Oryctolagus cuniculus: one gene and its partners. The protein of the gene in region 2 interacts with the protein of the main gene of each other region in a pairwise test. Links are inferred from orthologs where the notes say so. Each region holds a gene or a part of one and is shown on either strand. Other genes may lie near its edges. The genes, in order: PDCD10, C2H4orf19 and EIF3E.

Region 1 (6,763 bases), on a different chromosome or scaffold from region 2:
AAAGCAAGTGATTAATAAATATAAAATTGACAGGAAGATAGTTAACAACAAGCAAACAAGCAAGCAAACAAAAAGATAAAGAGACAAGGGAAAAAGCACCATCATTTCCATACAGAAAGCTCCCTATCCTGATTTCAGAAACCTCAAATACAAAATGAAGATCATTCTAAAATTTTTATTAAATATCTGTAAAGAACGCCTTTGTATCTATTCTTTAAATTTCTTAAGCATGTTCCCACATGCTTCAATCCTTTATGTAGGCAGGAAGCTTATCTCTTTTATTCATTTCTGAATTTCTGTTTCTAGCAAAGTGAAAGAAACACTGTGAATGAATATACTCATTTATTCATTCAGCAAATATTTACTGAACACTTACATTGTGCCATGTACCATTTAAGTACAGGAGTAGGATACACGACAAATCAGAGAGCCCTGCTCAGGTAGCTTAAAGTCCAGTGAGAGAAACAAATATTTACCAAATAAATCAGAAATAATTAAGATCCTCTTGTGATGATGCCACAAAGCAGTACAGAGTATAGTGAAGATACAGTGGAGACCTATTCTGGTTTTGGAAAGGAGCAGTTCAAGGTTAGGGAAGGCTCCCTTTAGGAATGACATTTAAAATGAAACTTGAAAAGTGTCTAGGATTTGGTCAGATTTGAGAACAGTCCAGGCAGTGAAACAAAACATGTGCAAAGGCCCTGAAGTCAGTAAGGACTTAAGTATTTAGTAACTAAAAGGGCTGACAAATGAGAAAGGCTGGAAATCAAAGCATATTGTCAACAGTAAATAAGAGTCAAAAGGGTTATAACCTTTGAACATTTAAGTCACGTTATGTGTTTTCTCACCAAAAGGAAATAATCTCAGAAACTAAGTCCTATTCCATAATATTAAAGATGCAGTTAGAAGATCCAGATTACCCATGCCTTGTTCCCACCAGTTACCAGCTACATGACCTTGAGCAAGTAAACCCAACTGAATCTCTTCAGTCTTTTTAAAAAGGCACTCAACCTATGCCATCTACTGAGACTACAGTGATAAATACAACATGGCCTCTCTTCTTCTATTTGTAAACCCCAAAATGAGAACAAATGTGGATAACAGTAAAGTGCACACAGATGCACACATCACTCTGTGAACTCTCTTAATTATCCAATATGCAAATGATCACTGTACTCAAGCATGTGGCCGGAAGATGATAAATGTAAGAGAAACATTCCAATGACATTCCAGCAGAGGTGAAATATCAAAACTGAAATGAATCTCAGAGATAAAGAAAAATTCATGGTAAACTGAACCAAGAACAAAAACTGATATATGCTGAACAAGTAGATTATATTAACTTCACTTATTTCCAAAATTTCTCTAGTTCAAAAACTCTTTTCATAACCACACAGCTGCATGCCAAAAGTCAGAACTCATTTCACACCGTGCCCAACAAAAGCAAATATTTACACTGCCATCTAGAAAATGTATTAACATTCTTGCTTACCACCACTTACTAATGCATCTATGGTCTACTTAAACTACTTCACCTTTCTAATTTGACACAAAGCCAGTTAACTCCACACAATTTTCCACCTGTTTGGTTGACTCTTCCTTACAGGTGCACTATTTTGCTTATGGTGCTTATTATTCTCGATTTCACTTGATTCTATACTATCATACCTCTCCTTCCATTTTAAAGTTGTATCAATTTCCAGACCATCTTAACTTCCATAATATGGGAATATGATACATTTGATCCTAGAAAATACTGCTGCATTTAAAAATTACACACATTTAATATTAATATTTATAGTGTGTTCAAAATACAATGTATTTCAATGGTCAACTTAGATAACAATAAACCATGACAGATGATTGCCAACTGCAAATAGATTATTTATGAATATAAACTTAATGTGAAAAAATCCTGACATCAATGAACATATTCCCACATTTCTATTAAAAAAAAAAAACTATTCAGTATTAATACTGAGGAGCTGTCCTGGGTCGTAACAATTACAGGAGATAAGACTGGGAGAGGTGCATTAGTTTCTACTCCATATGAAATGTGTCCTGCTTTTCCATTCTTTAATACAAACTAAGAATGAATTAAAAGTCACAGATAGGGGCTGGCACTGTAGCGCTGCAGATTAAAGCCCTGGCCTGAAGCGCCAGCAGCCCATACGGGTGCCAGTTCTGGTTCCAGCTGCTCCACTTCTAATCCAGCTCTCTGCTATGGCCTGGGATAGCAGTAGAAGATGGCCCAAGTCCTTGGGCCCCTACACCCACGTGGGAGACCTGAAGGAAGCTCCTGGCTTCAGATCAGCACAGCTCCAGCGGTTGTGGCCATCTGGGGAGTGAACTGTTGGATGGAAGACCTCTCTCTCTGTCTCTACCTCTCTGTGTAATTCTTTCAAATAAATAAAAATAAATCTTTAAAAAAATTTAAAAAGTCACAGATGATGCTGAGAAAATTAAAATATGTAAGAGCCTCATTCTTTTATTTACACACACACACAGAATCAAAGAGGGGAGAAGCAAATGAATCACAAAAATATGTTACCTCCAAGAAATGCAATGTTATCTTCTTTTCTAGTAATGAGCACACTAAACTCTCCTTAATGTTGCATTATTTGAAACAAAAAAAAAGTGCACAGTAAGTTTTGTTAAAGAATTCCATCCCCACTGTTCTCAGTTTTACAACATGAGAGTGGAAAAACCACCTAAGGCAGGAAGGGAAAGGAATATATCCTTTTCACAGTAAGGATGGAATACACTGTTTAAATGACTTTCTCCTATTTCACTATCTACTTTTAAAAATGGACTGTGGGAGAAGTCGATCGTTAATATAGCCCCAATAAAGGACAAAATACGTAACTGATACTGATCCTTTTTATTTTTCAAAAAGGTCAGAGAAAGTGCTTCAGTGAGGAATTTCACCCCAGTTTAGAAAAAAAAAAAAGAGAGAGAGAGAGAGAGGGAAAAAAAAGTCACCCTTCAATCACTCATAGCTTCTTAGAAATCCATAAAATACCATTACTGTGTCACTTCCTCCACCTTCCTCAAGAAACACGGCCCGTCTCCGCACTTTGTGACTCCGCCGGCATCTCTGTCCTGTTCAGGACCAAGTCCCTGCCTGTGTGACCTTGGGCACGTCATTTACTCCCTCAATTTCTTCAACAGCATCCTGACGGGAAAGCTCTTCGAAAGCAGTTCCAGCCGTAAACAAACCTATCTTGGGTATCACACCCTCAACAGGGTCGAGCGGTTCTGCTCAGGGACCCCATCTCAAAACACTCAGAATCCGCCGATCTGTCAACATCTGACTCTTCCTACTCCGTTCTCCTTTTCCTTCAAAGGGCATAACCCCAGTCACCCCGGAGCGAAGACTTCCAAGCAACCCCTCCTTCCCCAGCCACACTTACGAAGCAAGGGGGAAACAGCAGCCTTACCTCTCCCGCCCCAAGCCACACCTTCGGAGGACCCCACCCCAGGCACATCCGCCCTCTCTCCTCTCGGGGGGAACCAGAGGCCAACCTCGCCCTTCCCCTCCGCCCCCACCTAGAGCACACTTCCTGGAGGCGTCCAGGCCCGAGCGGGGCGGGCAGGCGGCATTTACAAACCCGCTTTACGCCACTCGCGTAGGGTAACCTCGCTTACGCCCATAGGGCCCCGCTCCCAGCCCCGTCCGCTCCGCCAGCCAGTACCAAGCCCGAGTGCCTCAGCCCCGGCCCCTGTGTGACCCCAGACCTCTTCCACCGCGCGCGGAGACACGGGGATAGGGGCAGAACACCCGCACCTTACCGGCAACTGAGGCACTGACTTCACTTCCCACCTTTGGAGCCCTCTTCAACTCCCGGATCAATTCACTCCGGCGACGCCGGAAGGACCCGAGAGGAACCAGGCGTTGTCCGGAATCCTGCCCAGCCGGAGAGGCGCAGTGGCCTATGGGGACTCGTAGTCTCGCTCGCCGGCGTCGTCTGCAATTCCTGCGCTCCTAGGACTACACTTCCCGGCAGGCCATACGGCAGAGCCTAAGGCGATGGGTGGGGACACTCGTAGCCAATAGTAGGAGAGTTCCCGGCCTTTGCGGGAGGAGGTGAGAGGGAGAGAGAGGGTGCAAGGCTAGGGGAGGAAGGGCGGGGCCGGCTCTCACCTGCGCCAATCAGGGTGCAGGGTCGGCCCCGTAGGCGCCTCACCCAAGGAGGGGGCGGGCTGCCGGAGGAGAAGACGGAAGCGGGTGGGGGGGCCCGAGGTAGGGAACGTGGGGCCGGTGGAATGGGTCTGCAGCGCGGGCAGAGAGGGAGCCTGGAGTGCAGGGAGTGCGGGGACGCTCCGCGGCCGGGATAAGCAGCTCCGCCAAGCCCCAGACCCGCAGGTTGGGGAGCGATGGGCTGAGCCTGGGCTACCTGCGGAGGCGCCAGGGCGCGGCAAGGGAACAAGTCCAGGTGTGAGAGCGGGGAGAGGGTGGGAGGAAAGGGGGACCCCCGGTACGAGGGAAGCGGCTGGAGCAGCTTCCAAAGTGCAGGGAGCGGGCAGGGACCCGGGCGGCAGCAGCAGGAACAGCAGGGGGAGGAGCAACAGCTGCCCAGTTCGCCAACTGGAGGAGGGAGAGGCGGAGCTTGGGTCCCGGTGGAAGCCGAAGGCGCAGCCTGGACCGTAGTTTCCCGGGAGAGACCCGAGCAGGAGCGGGAGCTGAGCGGAGTGCAGTCCCTTCGAGCCTCAGCTCCAGCCGTCCGCCGAGGGTGGCAGGTGTGCGGGAGGTAAGCGTGGGCGCGTTTTCCGGGGCGTCCGCACACTGCCCGGGAGGAAGCGTCTTTGCACAGCAGTTGCAGCAGGGCACAGCTCAGACCGTCTGCCTTCGGCTGGAAAAACCGGGGCAAACCCTTTCGGGTGAAAGATGCACATTTTTGGACTTTGAGGAGGAAAAAAAAAAAAAAAAGAAAGAAAGGTCGCTTGACCCTGGGTATAAAGGGTGTGGTTGGTGTTTTTGGTTTGAGTTGCACGATTCAAACTGTTGTGGGAGGTCTCAAGATTGAGGGAACCCCTACTGATTGAGGACCGGGTGGACGGTATTCTGGATCGGTACGTAGCTGATGAAAAGCAAACGTCTCGTCGTTGATACAGAATTACTTCCGAACTGTATCCCTAGAAAATAACTTTGCGTTCTTCTTCAGCGTCTGCGGGTACGTTGGATGCTGAGATTGTCCGCTGCGGACCTGTTATCCAAGGTGGTTGTAATGCAGGTCCGTAGAATTCCGAGATCTGTATTAAGCTAATGCAGTCAGGAACAGCGGGATAGGATGGGTGCTCCCTGAACCTGTGGGAAGTATAACTTTTGCCAGTAATAGTGTAAAAATGTGTTTTAGTGGATGGGCACTTAGCTTTCCTTCCAGCGACTCTGGAATATTGGAACAAAGACCTGGACTCAGCCTACAGTGGGAACATATGGTGTACATCATTGCTGCTCCTTATTCGCTCATTTGTGTCCAGTGATATGTGTACATTTCAGAAAACAAGAGGACAAGGAAAGCTGTCTGAGGATCTTTTCTGTGTTTAGTGCGTACGTGCTAAATGTTTACCCTTTGTATGAATTATGATGGGTTCCGGTTAAAAACATCATAAAATAAGAGTTTATTCTCAGAATTAAGCCATGTGTATATTTCTTTGAGTGTAATTATAATAGTACTTATGGGTGGAAATATGGTGTAGATGGAAATATGCTGAAGATAAAAGGTGCATCTAGCTTTGTGTAACTGACAAAAATTGCAGGCTTTTCTCTTTAGAAAAGTAGTAGGATCTATCTGGTGAGTTCATTTTTCATTTTCTTTTTGTTACAGAGTTCCCCAGATTACATGGCTTTTAATCATAGTAGGGTATTGCAGCACATTTTGTTCTGAAATGCCTTTACTGTGATAGTTGTATATTTCAGTCTGGGAATACTTTCATCTAGGTTTTTTTGAACTAGGGTCAATAAAATGGAGTAATTATCTTTTATTTTCCAGTTTTCCTGATTTACCTAGGATTTTCAATTTTATTTTTGTACTGCACACATTTGTTTTTGAAAAGAAATGGCTCAAAGGAATTCTCTGTTTAAAGTTCAGTCCTACTGAGTGCTACTACTGAAAAGCTTAAGTGACTTACCAGTATATACATACTCCATCTTTCCCACACTCACACTGCAGAACTATGGAGACAGACAAATCTTAGCAAAATAGCTGCTCTTAGATTGACCCGGAGCTGATCAGGTAAGTATTAGCAGCAACAAAGAGCTTAGGAGAATGAAAAAGCCACTGTAGCCACTAAAATTAGCAGCCATGGTAAGAGTCAGATTTTTATCTTTGCTACACCATTGGAGAATCTTATTAATCCACATAGCTGCTATGACTCTGTAAAATTATTTTGGTAGGAAAAACTGGGTACTAGGGTTTAGTGAGGCTTGGAAAAAGATCACATTTGTCCTTGTTATTTGTGATTAAGTGGATTGTCCTGAATCAGAATCTTCTATTCTCTTGTAGTCTGTACTACTAATTCATTTTATGAAACTCAATATTTACTGTAGCCAGGTTATTTCTCTCATGTATTAGTAATAGTAATGATAATTCATTTTATACTGGCAACGGAATTCTTACAAAGCCTTTGTCAAAAGATATTTTTGCAAGAGTTTTGTTGACAATAACCAAGCATATGAATAGAAAATAAGTATCACAAAGGTTGAAATTCAGATATACTTTGAAACCCAACTCTTTACAGGTCTTCTGCTCTGAGGTATATA
Region 2 (6,763 bases):
AGAGAATTCAAGACTCTAGTGTGTACAGGTCCACTCTAGGTCTAACGAATAATTAAAAATATAAAACTGTATCCAAATACACACTACACTAAAAAGCTAGGTATGGGCAATAGGTGAACGATTGGGGTGAACTATCTGCTCTCACAGGCATATGCGCCTCTCACACACCACCAAATCTCCTAAAAACATAATTCAGTCTTCTGAGACATACAACAGGCCAGTTTTTGGTCAACTTTTGGTGGGGGAAAAGGCTGTTCTTTTGTCCACTTATGATGTTAACCAACCCAAGGTCAGGGTATTTTTACTTCCAAGAGTTAAGTTACAGCAGATAAGGTGCACACAATATGAAGTCAACAGTTTAACTGTATTTTCAAATGTGTATATTTAAGTCTACAGAAAGGCTGTTGATAATGCAAATAAAATTGGCTCATTCTTTACCAAAAACCTCTTTTCTGTGATGAAAAACTAACTGGGGCTCCAGAGTTATAATAGCCAGCAGGAAGAGCATTGCAGGGAAGCGTGGCTTATGTTTATCTACCTGGTAAAAATGTAGTTTGAAATGTCATGCAGATTAAGACAGACTCAGTCATCTAACCATTTCTTTTCCTTTTTTTTCTTTTTATTATTTTTTGCCAGGCAGAGTTAGACAGTGAGAGAGAAAGAGAGAGATAGACAGTGAGAGAGAGAGACAGAGAGAAAGGTCTTCCTTCCATTGGCTCACTCTCCTAATGGCCACTATGGCCAGCGCTGCGCCAATCTAAAGCCAGGAGCCGGATACTTCTTCCCAGTCCCCCATGTGGGTGCAGGGACCCAAGGACTTGGGCCATCCTCCGCTGTCCTCTTGGGCCACAGCAGAGAGCTGGACTGGAAGAGGAGCAACCGGGATAGAATCTGGCACCTCAACCGGGACTAGAACCTGAGGTACTGGCGCCGCAGGTGGAGGATTAGCCTAGTGAGCCGCGGCGCCAGTTTTTTTTTTTTTTTTTTTTTTTTTTTTCAGATTTATTTACTTGAGAGATATAGTCACAGAGAGGCAGAGACAGAGAGAGAGGTCTTCCATCCGCTGGTTCACTCCCCAGATGGCTGTGATGGCCAGAGCTGAGCTGATCCAAAGCCAGGACTTCTTCTGGGTCTCCTATGCAGGTACAGGGGCCCAAGAACTTAGGCCATCTTGTACTGCTCTGCTAGGCCATAGCAGAGAGCTGGATCAGAAGAGCAGCTGGGACTAGAACTGGCACCATATGGGATGTCAACACTGCAGGTGGAGGTTTAGCCAGTATGCCACAGTGTAGTGGGTGCACCCCAAGGGATGTGAATATCTTAACTGCTAGGCCAAATGTTTGCCTCTCACATGGATTTTTGCAGCAGCTGCCTTTGGTTTTGTTTGCATCTTCCTCATTCCATTCTCATTGTGCGCAGAATGAACTGTCTAAAACAAAAATGTGCTCTGCTAAAATCCTTCAAAGGCCTTGTCTGAGACTGTAAGATCCCTGAAGACAGGGCCAATGTCCCCAGCACCTGGCACACTCCCTGTTGACTCTAGGTCTACATACCTTCTTCCCAAGGCCAGATGAGGGTTTAATTTTGGAGAGCCACTTGTACACTGAACAGAACAGAGTTCAGTGCTCACAGTATAGTCTGAGACACGTCTTATGTGAGCAATGGTCACTGTAGCCCGGGAGCGTCCCTTTCCAGCATGCCTGACAACACTGTTTTCAATGATCTGCTTCTCATCATGCACACTCATCAGTATGGTGTTTTAGGATAGGATCATCTTGCTTCTGAAGATCCCAACCCTTGTTGGGCCATGACATTCAGCGGTGAAAACGGTGTGAGAAAACGAAAGATTTAATCTTCACTTTATCCTCTTAAGAAGCATTCAAGGCATAACCAGAGTAAGAAAGGTTTACAACTAGGGAGGCAGGATGACTCCAGGTAAGAGCAGGCATTAAGAAAAGCTACAACTGGGTGACCATTCTGACCCACAAATGAGTCTAGGATGAACCAATCAACTCTTCCCAGTTTTTCTTTTCTAGATACCTAGGAAGTCTATCTGGGACCAATCAAGTGCAGTGAGCAGAACAGAATGAATGACAACTAACAGGAGGCGGGGGCTGTTTTTTTTTTTTTTTTTTTTTGATACAATTTAACCAAGACCCCAAAAGAGTTAGATTCAGGGTTACTGGAAAAGGTATGTAACTAGGGAATTTGAAACTCGGTCCAGGGAGTGGAAACCCAGCTACCGAGAGGCTAGTCCTTAAGAAGCTCAGTCAGTCCATGAGCTCCCGGGGCACCAGGGCAGAGCAGTTCTGAGAGCAAGGACTGCAGCACCCACTCTGCCTTTGGCCTGGGACTAGATCCTGACCAGAGCTTGGCCAGGTTGGGTTTCCAGGCTGAGAGAGGCACCAGCTGGGAAATCACTCCATTTTTAGGAGGATGGAAAGTTTTCAGGTGATAGGCAAGTTGTTGTTTTTTTTTGTTGTTGTTTTGTTTTAAATTTTGTAGTGCGAAAGCTCTTGGGAGCATGGTTAAAATCGGTCCTATCACTCACTATTTCAGTCTTCAGGACCTGGCCCTGGGGCACACGCCATGACTTGCTGAGCGAAGGGAAAGCAGGATCAGAGGAGGGACAAACAGAAAGCAGAGAAGAGAGGTAAGCCGCACACCCTGCCCTGCCTGCAGCATCTGTCCCTCTTCTCAGTGTCTAAAGCAGCTTGCTCTTAAGGAAATCTTCACATTGGAGAGAAAAGCGAGTCACCCAAGAACTTTACTGTTAGAGCTTCGAACGACTGTTTCAGCGGCAGTGTTTTCACAGAAGGAACCAGAAAGCTGATCTCTAGGCACTGGTATTTAAGAGTCACAAGGCTGTAACACCTGGGTTGTCCTGTTAAATGAGCATTCACTGGAGGATTCAACGGAGGGGGAGCAGCCAGTAAGGAATGTATCATCAGTAAAAACAGGCCCACTTTCATTGACTTTCTCATTCAGTTCTCTGCCCTGGCGATTACTCCTCACAGCAGCTTGGTTGCAACCACTGAGGACTCCCAGCAGCTAGGGTGAGAAGCACCATCAGGAATTCTCTCCCCCAGACAGTGACAAGGAAGAAAACAACCGCCATATATTTTTGAAAAATGATTTGAGCCACCTCATAGAAGACCTGACTTGCTCCAAAGTCACAGGATAAACACCTACTCTGTGATGGAAAACAAACCGTGCTAAGTCACACAGGAAGGGTTTTCTGTTTTCTTTTCAAGGTCCATTATGGTGCGAGAGGGAAAAAAAATTGATTTCTTCCTCCCGTCACTGGAAAAATTCTTCAGTGGCCCTCTGTGCAAATCTCACCTCATCAGGGTTAGCAAGGTCAATCGACCTGGGAGATGCTTGCCTAATTACTAAATATTTAGTGACCGCCTAACTGCGCGCACCTGGCACGCTCTGCGCCGCTCAGCACAGCCTCCCTTCCCTCCAGCTCTGCCCCCGAGGGCGCCCGCACCTGGCGGTGTGAGCTGGGGAGGCAAATCCTGCGACCCAAGGACATTTCAAAGAAACTGCGGCGGTCACCTTCCATTTCCGTTTTATTCAAGACATTCAGATGCTTAAGGGGGGGGGGCGGTGTTGACGGACACAGAAACACGAGACAATGTCTCTCAGTTTTCCAGTTCAAGTTCTTATGCACCACCAAAGTTCATTAGTTGGGGGATTTAAAAGAAAAACAGTAAGAGTCCCCACACAACCAGCTAGAGCCAAGCCCCCCGAACGTCTAGCTCTTTGGTTTGGAGAATTTGTAAAAGTCTTCCTCTCCCGCGCCCCGATTCGCTTCTCTGACGGCGCCTTTGTTGAATGGCGCGACTTTGGTCCAACTCATCCAGTCAGAACCGCCTCTCCCCTCTTATGTGTTAGTCATGAATTATCACTACTGCAGAGCAAAGGGAAATGCAGAAGTAAGAGCGACCCGCGAGAGAAATCAGGGTCGTCGTGCCCCAAAGCCAAGTTCCGCGGCAGTCCCGCCCTTCTCCTCCCGCGGCGGGCACCACGCGCACGGCGTGGGACCGTCCCTACCTGGGGCCGGGCGGCGGCGGGGTCGCGGCGCCCATGGCTTCGCCGACCTCGGACAGCAGCGCGGGGAAACGCGGGCGGCTGAGGAGCGCCCGGAGCCCGCGGCGCTAGCCCGGGCCGCCCCGGCGCCGTCATTGGGCCCCCGCGTCACGTGGCCGGCCCGCGGGCGAGCCCCGGCGGCACGCGTAACCCTTTACCTGCGCGCCCCGCAGCGGGGCGTGCGGCGCTGGCTCTTCGGGGCGCACTGAGCACCGACCTCTGGGGCGCAGGCCGCCAAGGGCCCGCCGTGCTGGGAAACTGGTGGGGGACCTGCTTTTTCTGTCGTGCTGTAGGGAGAAGGCAGTGTCCGAGGATCGCGGCTTAAGTGGGGGAGAAAAATAAACGCACCGTCCGGCCAATGTGCGCCTCTTCCCTGTGCGCTTGCGTTTTTCCTACTTCCCCCTCGGCATTGATCTGAGCTGCTGGGACCCGCTGCGTGCCCTGTCGCCTGCCTTTAGGAGCCGGGGTTCAGGGAAACCGTGGTTCCCCATACATCCCTTCCCTTCTCTGTCTTTTGCTGGGGTGAAAGGACTTTGGTTGCAGCTCTCCATCCAACCTGCCGAGCTCCCCACCCGTAGTTACTGCCAGCCTTCAAGTATCCAGGCTGTCTGGAAAAATACCATCAGCGATTGGGACGACTTTTTCAACTGCGCTCCAAAACAAATTACTGGACTTGCCAGCGAGATGCGCTAATCCGCTGCGCCACCTAGCTTCCCTTCTTCTCCCTTTCCCCTCTGCTCATCCTGGGAGGGCTGGGAGAGCAGCACTCGGAGAGACCACAGCACCGGGAACCTTTGGAACGTGGACCCACTACCCTTTGGTTACACCAGCTACTTTCACACGGCTTGTGCCACATAAAATGGCAGATATGCGAGGGAAGTTATATATTATTTTATGCCATTTTCTGATCTTAAAAAATCCTTTTGTTACCCTAAGTAATGCTTGTGTCCAATTTCTAGACAAGATTTTAATAATGTCTATGGGATATTGGTATCTTTATCAGTTAGGTTATTTTGTCCAAAAAAGATTTGTATTTGAGTTCTAAAGTGTGGTCTTACACTAGCAGAATTAGTGTCTTCTAAGGGAATTCGGTAAAAAAGAATATTCTTGGGCTCCATCCCAGATATACTGATTCAGAAATAGTGGGGGGGACAGGAAGGTTGAAAAATGTTTTAACAAGTGACACACATTCTAGTTTTGGAACCAGTGCTCTGAGCCTGCGTACGCAGGTGCCCAAGTTACCCTCATCTGTTAAAAGCTGGGATAAAGTCAGAGGTACTGTTGATATTTGTCAGTGTCAGACAGCCTGTCACATTGGTACACGGAAACCAAGCTTTCCACGTGTCTGTACAAAATGTAATGTGCATTTTGTACAAATCAGTTGGATGCCCAGCAGACACTCCAGGGTGGGGTGAAGCTCATAAAAAAACAGAAAACTCTGATGATGCATGCTGGAGTGAAAATACAATTAATTTTCAAAGAGTGTTCATGTTTATATTGGTATATAAGTTATTCCCAGATCATGGGTCTTAGAAGATAGGAAACCCAATTTATTTCAGTGGGGTTAAAAATCTAGTTTCAAATGTGTGAAATTGTTCTACAAAAAGAATAAAAATTAAGTTTATGGTAACAGCTTACATTATATCCAAAGAGAATTCCACACCACGTTTAGACATTGTGATTAAGGGTTCCTGAAAGAGATAGCTTTTTGGATTCTTTCTCATATTCCTCCATGGGATCGGCAGCATAATTCCAGTTGTCTGCATGGATATCTTGCCCTTAAACTCTTTAGGTTAGAGTTTATTCATGGTTTCTGACACTTTGATCTTCTATTCATTTGACGTTTGTGACTCTACCATCTACCCAATTTCAACGGGAACTGGATTTGGGTTTTCCTTCTCCTTCATCTGCCTCCACCAGTAAGCCCTGAACATCCCTCCCCCACAGTGTCTCTCCTCTTACATTCTCATTGTTAATGTCCCAACATCAAGTTCAAATACTTTCTGCCTTCGATCACTGCAATAATGTGTAGTGGTCTTCCAGCTTCAGGTCTCTTCCGTGTCTAATCTGATAAAGTACTGCCTGAGCCATTCTAAAATGCCATTCCAACCAGGCCATTCCCTTCCCAAAACTCTTTTCATAGCTCCCTATTGACTTCTTAATGAAGCCCAAATTCCCAACATAGCATTATGTCATCTAAAATGTGCTTCAACTCTCCATTTCTGCTCATGTGGCTTCCTTTACCTGAAATGCCTTTCTGACATTGATGCCTGTTCCCACTTATTCTTCAACCTCTTACTCTTGTCCTTTTTGATGCCCACGTGGAATAAATTGGTCCTCAGCAGTGTATCCTCAGCTTCTGGCTTCTGCTTTTACTAACAGCCTTTTATCAATCTTCGAATTGGCTTAGTGTGTCTCCTTTAGATTGTAGGATTCTAGACAGAAGGAGTCACGTGTGACTGATCTTCAAATCACGCTAGTGTATAACAAAACACCTTGATGTACAATCATGCCTTACTTGTGTACTTGACCCTAGGATAGAAGGCATAGAAATAGTAAACTGCATATACATGAAATACTGTTATGCAAAAACGGATCAGCAATTTGTTTTTTAGTCTGAGGTGGAAAGGAGATTTTATCTTTATGCATAAATTTCTGAGAAAGAATT
Region 3 (6,663 bases), on a different chromosome or scaffold from region 2:
CAGTAAAATATCCCAAAACTACCCTTCCCAAAGTATAAAAAACCTAAGAGAAAAGAATTCTATCATTTTTTTTTTTTTTTTGGGACAGGCAGAGTGGACAGTGAGAGAGAGAGGGACAGAGAGAAAGGTCTTCCTTTGCTGTTGTTCACCCTCCAATGGCCGCCACAGCTGGCGCACCGCACTGATCTGATGGCAGGAGCCAGGTACCTATCCTGGTCTCCCATGGGGTGCAGGGCCCAAGCACTTGGGCCATCCTCCACTGCACTCCCTGGCCACAGCAGAGAGCTGGCCTGGAAGAGGGGCAACCGGGACAGAATCCGGCGCCCTGACCGGGACTAGAACTCGGTGTGCTGGCGCTGCAAGGCGGAGGATTAGCCTAGTGAGCCGCGGCGCCGGCTAGAATTCTATCATTTGAATAAAAAGATTTCTGGACTTTGCAAAGGCACTAGAAATTTAATCTTAAAGTAGTTTAGTGAATTCTCTGTGGTCCAATCAAAGAAAAAACAAAACCCTACATCAAGATAAATTTGAAAATTTCTTATCTAATGATAATGTCATATGAAAGGTTACATAAACATTCCCAGTCCATTTATTACCTTCTAGAACTGTATATATCATGTGAGTATGCAGAACAAGTAATTTTACAGTTAAACATTATAAAAAGAGTGAGCATTTATTTGATGTAGTTAAGTGGTTAAAAAGCTGCTTGGGATGCCCAGATCCCAAAATGGAATGTTTGGGGTCAAATCTCAGCTCTGCTTCTGATTCCAGCTTCCTGCTAATGTGCATGCTGGCAGGGAGCAGGGGATGGCTCAAGTACTTGGGTCCTTGCCACCCATACTGGAGACTGGCATCGAGTTCTGGGCTCCTGGCATCAGCCTGGACCACTACTGGCTGCTGTAGGCGTTTGGGGAGTGAAACAGAGACAGGAGCTCTCTATCTGCTTTTCCAATAAATAAAATTTAAAAATTAACAAATATCATAAACTGAGTCCCAAGGAAAAAAGTAAGATTCAATAAAGAGAAAAAGCCAGTATTAGAACAAATCTTATTTGTGGTACTACAGAAGTGAAAACTAAAGAAAGCGATACCAAGGACAAATATGCATGTTTACTAATACAAAGGACAGGAGAAATTGACTCATTTTACAAATATTTATACTATATCTGTACTACACTATACAAAGCATGCTATATGCTAGAAAGCTAGTATGCTAGGTATTAAAATTACAAAAACAAGAGTCAGTTTTCAAAAGGCTCACTATAGAGGTAAAGTTCTGGACAAAAAAAAACCAAAATAAAACAAAACAAAAACACCACCCAAGTGACCACAGTCTAACCAGAAATGGGGAAATCAAAACACTAACAGCCCTATTTCACAACCCTAGTCATAAATTTCAGAAACAAAGAACAATGCAAGAATTCAGTTATCAACTGTCCACTAGCACCCCACATATGATGCACCTATTAGTAGTCTGAATGTATTCTTTAAGAAAGTAAGATTTTTAAGTTGTCTCCAAACTAGAGAAAAGTACCAATAAAACTAAATCAGCGCCCCACATATGATGCACCTACCTCTATTTCACAAAAAACTACATACTAAGAATTTGAATGTATTCTTTAAAAGAGTAAGATTTAAAAATTGTCTGCAAGTTAGAGAAAAGTAGTAATAAAACTGATGTTAAGGATTCAGTTACCACAGAAAAAAACCCACAATCATCCTATACTTCTAACCCTGGATAACCACTTCAGTGACAATCCAATAAAATTAGCAAAGTATGGATCCTTCAAGCAAAAAACAAATGGCATTAAAGAAAAAGAATCTGGTCTACACAATTCCTTAGAGGCAAACATTAAAGTAGCTAAGTTTAAAAAAAAATTATGTTTGGCTTCATCTGTGGCCAAAGGGCACTGGCTATTTTTCAAATTCTAATACGTAAAATTACTTTCTAATAGGTTATGTACATTTCACAACTTTCCCCAATAACTTTTTACACAATAGAGAGAATTTCAACTAAAATTCACCATAATTTTTCTGTGTTTCAACATTTTAGCGCATGTTACAGCAGTTTACTATATAAGAATTCAAATATGTAATTAAATAAAAACAAACTCAATTAACAGAAGTGATTGCCAAATGTAATAGTCTTTCAACAGAATTTCTGATTTATGAAGGGCTAACTCTTGAACTGTTGAAAACCATTTTTAAAACTGGTTACTTCACTTTCCTCCCTGTGTAATGGTTTAATAATATTAGGTAACTGTCAATTATGTTATCTTTTTGAAAAATTATGTTGTGCCACACATCATGCAAGCTAAATATTTCTGAGCCTGTAGCTTCTCATAATTAAAAAAAGTTAGGGGTGCTAAAAGTAATCCATTATCAAATTATTTTCTTCTAAAAGCAAATGGAAATAAAATTAACTGGAATCTTATTAAATGTAACTTTCCAAGACATTAAAAAAGAGAAAATACACATCAACACAGGGTTTTCTTACTTAATGCTGATACACTGGTGGATGCGACAAAAAGTCTCAAATATGAAAAGACGGGCATTTTCAATGAAATCTTCAAGACAAGCCACCAAAAAGAAATCATTCACAAGCACCTATGTTATGAAACATAAAAGAAAAAATTAATAATGCTGACAAGCAATTTTCAAAAACTTGACTCAAAACTTGTAGCTACTATTCCATTATGGAATATATATATTTATGGAATGTATTTATGGAAATGCTATTCCATTTATGGTATAACTAAAAGACTATTTTATTAATTTTTTTACCTTTTAAGGATACAAATTTCATAAGTATTTTAGGAATATAATCCCACCATAAACACCCTCTCACCCACAGTCCCATACCTTCTCCTCCTCCTCCTCCCATTCCCATTCCCAATTACAATCCATTTTCAATCAACTTTGTACAGAGAAGATCAACTCTATACTAAGATTTCAACAATTTACACACACACGCACACATTCTCATAATACAACTCACTGAAGACAGAGGCTGCAAGGGGAGTTAGTGCACAGTGATTCCTGTTGCTTGTTATTTTAACAATTAACACTCTTATATATGACTCCTGTTGTTAATTTAACAATTAACACTCTTATGCATGATGTCAGTGACCACCCGAGGCTCTTGACATGAGCTGCCAAGGGTATGGAATCTACAATCTCTGTCAATATTTAGACAAAGCCATAAGCAAAGTAGAAGTTCTCTCCTTCCTTCAGAGAAAAGTACATCCTCCTTTGATGGCCACTTCTTTCTACTAGGGTTTCACTCACAGAGATCCTTCATGGAGAACATTTTTTGCCATAGTGTCTTGACTTTCCATGCCCAAAATGCTCTCATGGGCTTTTCAGCCAGACAAGTAAGCCTTAAGAGCTGTTTCTGAGCTCAGAGTATTACTTAAAGCGATTATAAAAGATTACTTTAAGAACCCAAATGTCCTCTGACTCTTCTGGTTCCACAATAAGCCCTAGATACTCAAGCATAATGAACATACACCAATATTTACTTTAATAAAATGTTACATGTGCCTATAGTAACACAAGCTATAATATTGGTTTCTACTTCTATATTTTGTATAGTAGTTGAAAATCACCTCTGAGTGTATTTACGTATTGTTCCCTTATAGAAATAAGATCTCAGTCTGTCAAAAAATTTACTTATTTTGTGGCAAAATTTGTATTGAAAAGATGAATCCGATGACTAGTAATGTGTGAATGTGGTAAAGGCAATTAAATTTAGCAATTAAGCTCTTAGTTTAGTTTCTTAAAACTTACAATCTGATTCAGAAGAACCATAATCTAACTTTTCCACATTTCTTCAAGGAATTTTAGTTTCTGCTAATAGGACACTAGTAATACAATAATAATCTGCTTTATAGCAAATGAGAAATATAATCATGTGAACATTTCCCAAGATAAGCCCACCTAAGAAACAAACTGAGAACAAGAGCTGTGATGGGCAACTCAAAGTGATCACCCTAAAGTACACAGGAAGTATTTTATGTTTACTCATTCAGAGTAAGACATAGAATCAGGATATACCTGTGAATTTACAGTATATCCAAATGTTTGAATAAACCTTCTTAACAAAAGGAATCTATCTATAGCAACAAATTCTCAAACCATGAGTTATTTAAAATACACAATTATTTTTGATAGAATTACTTGATATGATAATTAAAACACTGCAAGATTAACTCTATAATGCTAAAAGAATTAAGAACAGTATTAGTTTGCAAGTAAAACTTTATACTCACTGATTCACATTCCCTCAGCTTTTTCTGAGCCCCATCAAAGTCAAAGTTAACATATAAGCATTCAACAAATTCTGTAATTGGGTCTTTATAGGTGTAAGATTCCTGTAAAATTAAGTCAAAGGTTAAGTTAGATCTGTTTCAACATTACTTATTACAATGTCCTTAGATTATCCCAATTTTCATGTTTTCTCTATTGTTGCCATTAATTTCTAGTAAATTACTATCATCTCAAAGCAATGGCTTCTGCACTGATTCCAGGATCATGTCTTCCAAATCAAGTTCTCTAAATTCTCCCCAGAGTAATTCCAATACCAAAAGTCTCCATTAGTCAGTAAACAGTGATAAACTTCCCCAATATAAAGACATCCATACCCTACTGAATGGTAATGACTTCTCTGTACTTAATTCATTCTTAGATCAAATTAATATTTTAAGTTCTTTTTTCAATCCATGGTTCTTGCTGAAGCATTTACCAAAAATCAATCAGCTGTAGTGTTACTCAATTTGGAGACAATTAATTGTATTCTCCATACAGATCACCCTTATTAAATTATGAGGCAAGTAATGACCCCTCAATGAACAGTTCCAGACTCCAGATCTTCTTTCACTCTGTAGTAAGAGTAACACAAGTACATAATATATTTTAAGTATCCACCTAGTAGACAGCAATAATCATTCTATCACATCTAACATAGGTATATTTTAGACTTACAGAGAGTAATGTCCAAGAGGGTCATCCATCTTTTAAATTTCATGTATACTTCCCTATTTTCTAAAAACATTTTTATCTTAAGAAGTAGGGGTTTTACTTTAAAATAAAGAGGGTACATCTAAAGATTAGGTATGGCCAACACCGTGGCTCAATAAGGCTAAACCTCCGCCTTGCAGCGCCGGCACACCGGGTTCTAGTCCCGGTCGGGGTACTGGATTCTGTCCCGGTTGCCCCTCTTCCAGGCCAGCTCTCTGCTGTGGCCCGGGAAGGCAGTGGAGGATGGCCCAAGTGCTTGGGCCCTGCACCCCATGGGAGACCAGGAGAAGCACCTGGCTCCTGCCATCAGATCAGCGCAGTGTGCCAGCCGTAGCGGCCATTGGAGGGTGAACCAATGGCAAAGGAAGATCTTTCTCTCTGTCTCTCTCTCTCTCACTGTCCACTCTGCCTGTCAAAAAAAAAATTAGGTATGTTTAAAAATCAATGAAGATTAATTTTTACCTGTTGAATAACTTTGACAAGATCTTTCAGCACCTGCCGGCGTTTTCGAACATCTTTGTTTGTTATGACTGCTGTGGTCAAATAACGCAGAATATGTGGACACATTGTCTGAATTGCATTAAGATACCTAGGGTTAAAATACAAAAGTTATCTAACATTTAATAACTTCCCTAGTTTTCTAGATATACAAGCCAGTGTGAATTAAAGGAAACACTCGTATAGCCCATTAAATTGCAATATTTCACTAGTCTGAGACTGCAAACACTGTAAGGGGATTTCCTCCAAGAAAGTGCAGAAACAGAATCTAACTTCAGGAAACAAAATGATGAAAATGCCAGCTAACAAAAAAAATGAGTCAAACTTACTTTGGGAGTGGGTGTTTAACTTAGTGGTTAAGATGTCCATGCCTGACATCAGAGAACCTGGCTTTAATTGCTGACTCCAGTTCTTGACTACTTCATTTTGCCAATGTAGACCCTCAGAGGTAACAGCAATTGCAGAAGTAATGGGTTCCTGCCACCCCCATGGGAGACCCGATTTGAGTTCTTGGCCTCTGGTTTTGGACCCAGCCTGGTTAGGCTCCAGACAAGCCCCTGGTTGCAGGAATTCAGGAAGTAAATTAGTGAGTGGGAGCTAGCTCTGTCTCTGCCCCTCAAGTACCAACAAAAATAATAAAAAATCCAAAACAAACAAACAAAAAACCCAACTTATTTTGGTTGAAGCCTCATTTTCATTAACTTTTGTGAGAAACGTCTGCTATGATGCAATATCACATTTTAAATTTTCTAAATTTTCATGACAGCTTCTGTTTTGTCTGCTGAGAATGCTTTGGTGAGGACTTATGGTCTGGTAATATGAATGTATATGGCATTCTTTTAGCATGGCTAGCATGTCAGTTCAATGCCTGGCATTCTAACTCAGTACCAAAAAAAAATCCCCACTCCACCGTGCCTTAAGAACCCAAAGTCTACTGCTCCCTCTTTGTTTTGATCTGACAAGTATACACTAGTAACAACAAAAATATAAATAAAGTGCTGCATTGATGTACTATGCATGGCATGAAAAACACTATTATAGGAGGGTATGTGAAAAAAATTTTTATGGGTCCACTGCCTGTGATACCTGCATCCCATAAGGGTGAAGTTCCAGACCCGGCTGCTACACTTCTTTTTTTTTTTTTTTT

Evidence for each region.
Region 1: the proteins of C2H4orf19 (region 2) and PDCD10 interact in binary tests that used the Homo sapiens proteins (3 or more experiments, as listed by UniProt). The two-hybrid records come from large-scale screens. The link is inferred for Oryctolagus cuniculus from reciprocal best matches to the Homo sapiens genes PGCKA1 and PDCD10.
Region 3: the proteins of C2H4orf19 (region 2) and EIF3E interact in binary tests that used the Homo sapiens proteins (3 or more experiments, as listed by UniProt). The two-hybrid records come from large-scale screens. The link is inferred for Oryctolagus cuniculus from reciprocal best matches to the Homo sapiens genes PGCKA1 and EIF3E.

What each region holds. Positions count from the first base shown.
Region 1 is NC_091435.1:112,786,847-112,793,609, reverse strand, and holds the start of PDCD10 (programmed cell death protein 10), read right to left. Parts: upstream 3,973-6,763; 5' UTR 3,793-3,972; intron 3,582-3,792; exon of another isoform or gene 3,023-3,581; intron 1-3,022. UniProt on the Homo sapiens protein: Promotes cell proliferation. Modulates apoptotic pathways. Increases mitogen-activated protein kinase activity and STK26 activity. Important for cell migration, and for normal structure and assembly of the Golgi complex.
Region 2 is NC_091433.1:31,582,013-31,588,775, reverse strand, and holds the start of C2H4orf19 (uncharacterized protein C4orf19 homolog), read right to left. Parts: upstream 4,210-6,763; 5' UTR 4,060-4,209; intron 1-4,059. UniProt on the Homo sapiens protein: Acts as a tumor suppressor. Acts as a tumor suppressor for colorectal cancer cell proliferation by targeting KEAP1/USP17/ELK1/CDK6 axis.
Region 3 is NC_091437.1:133,432,279-133,438,941, forward strand, and holds part of EIF3E (eukaryotic translation initiation factor 3 subunit E), read right to left. Parts: intron 5,608-6,663; coding exon 5,481-5,607; intron 4,373-5,480; coding exon 4,271-4,372; intron 2,607-4,270; coding exon 2,497-2,606; intron 1-2,496. UniProt on the Homo sapiens protein: Component of the eukaryotic translation initiation factor 3 (eIF-3) complex, which is required for several steps in the initiation of protein synthesis.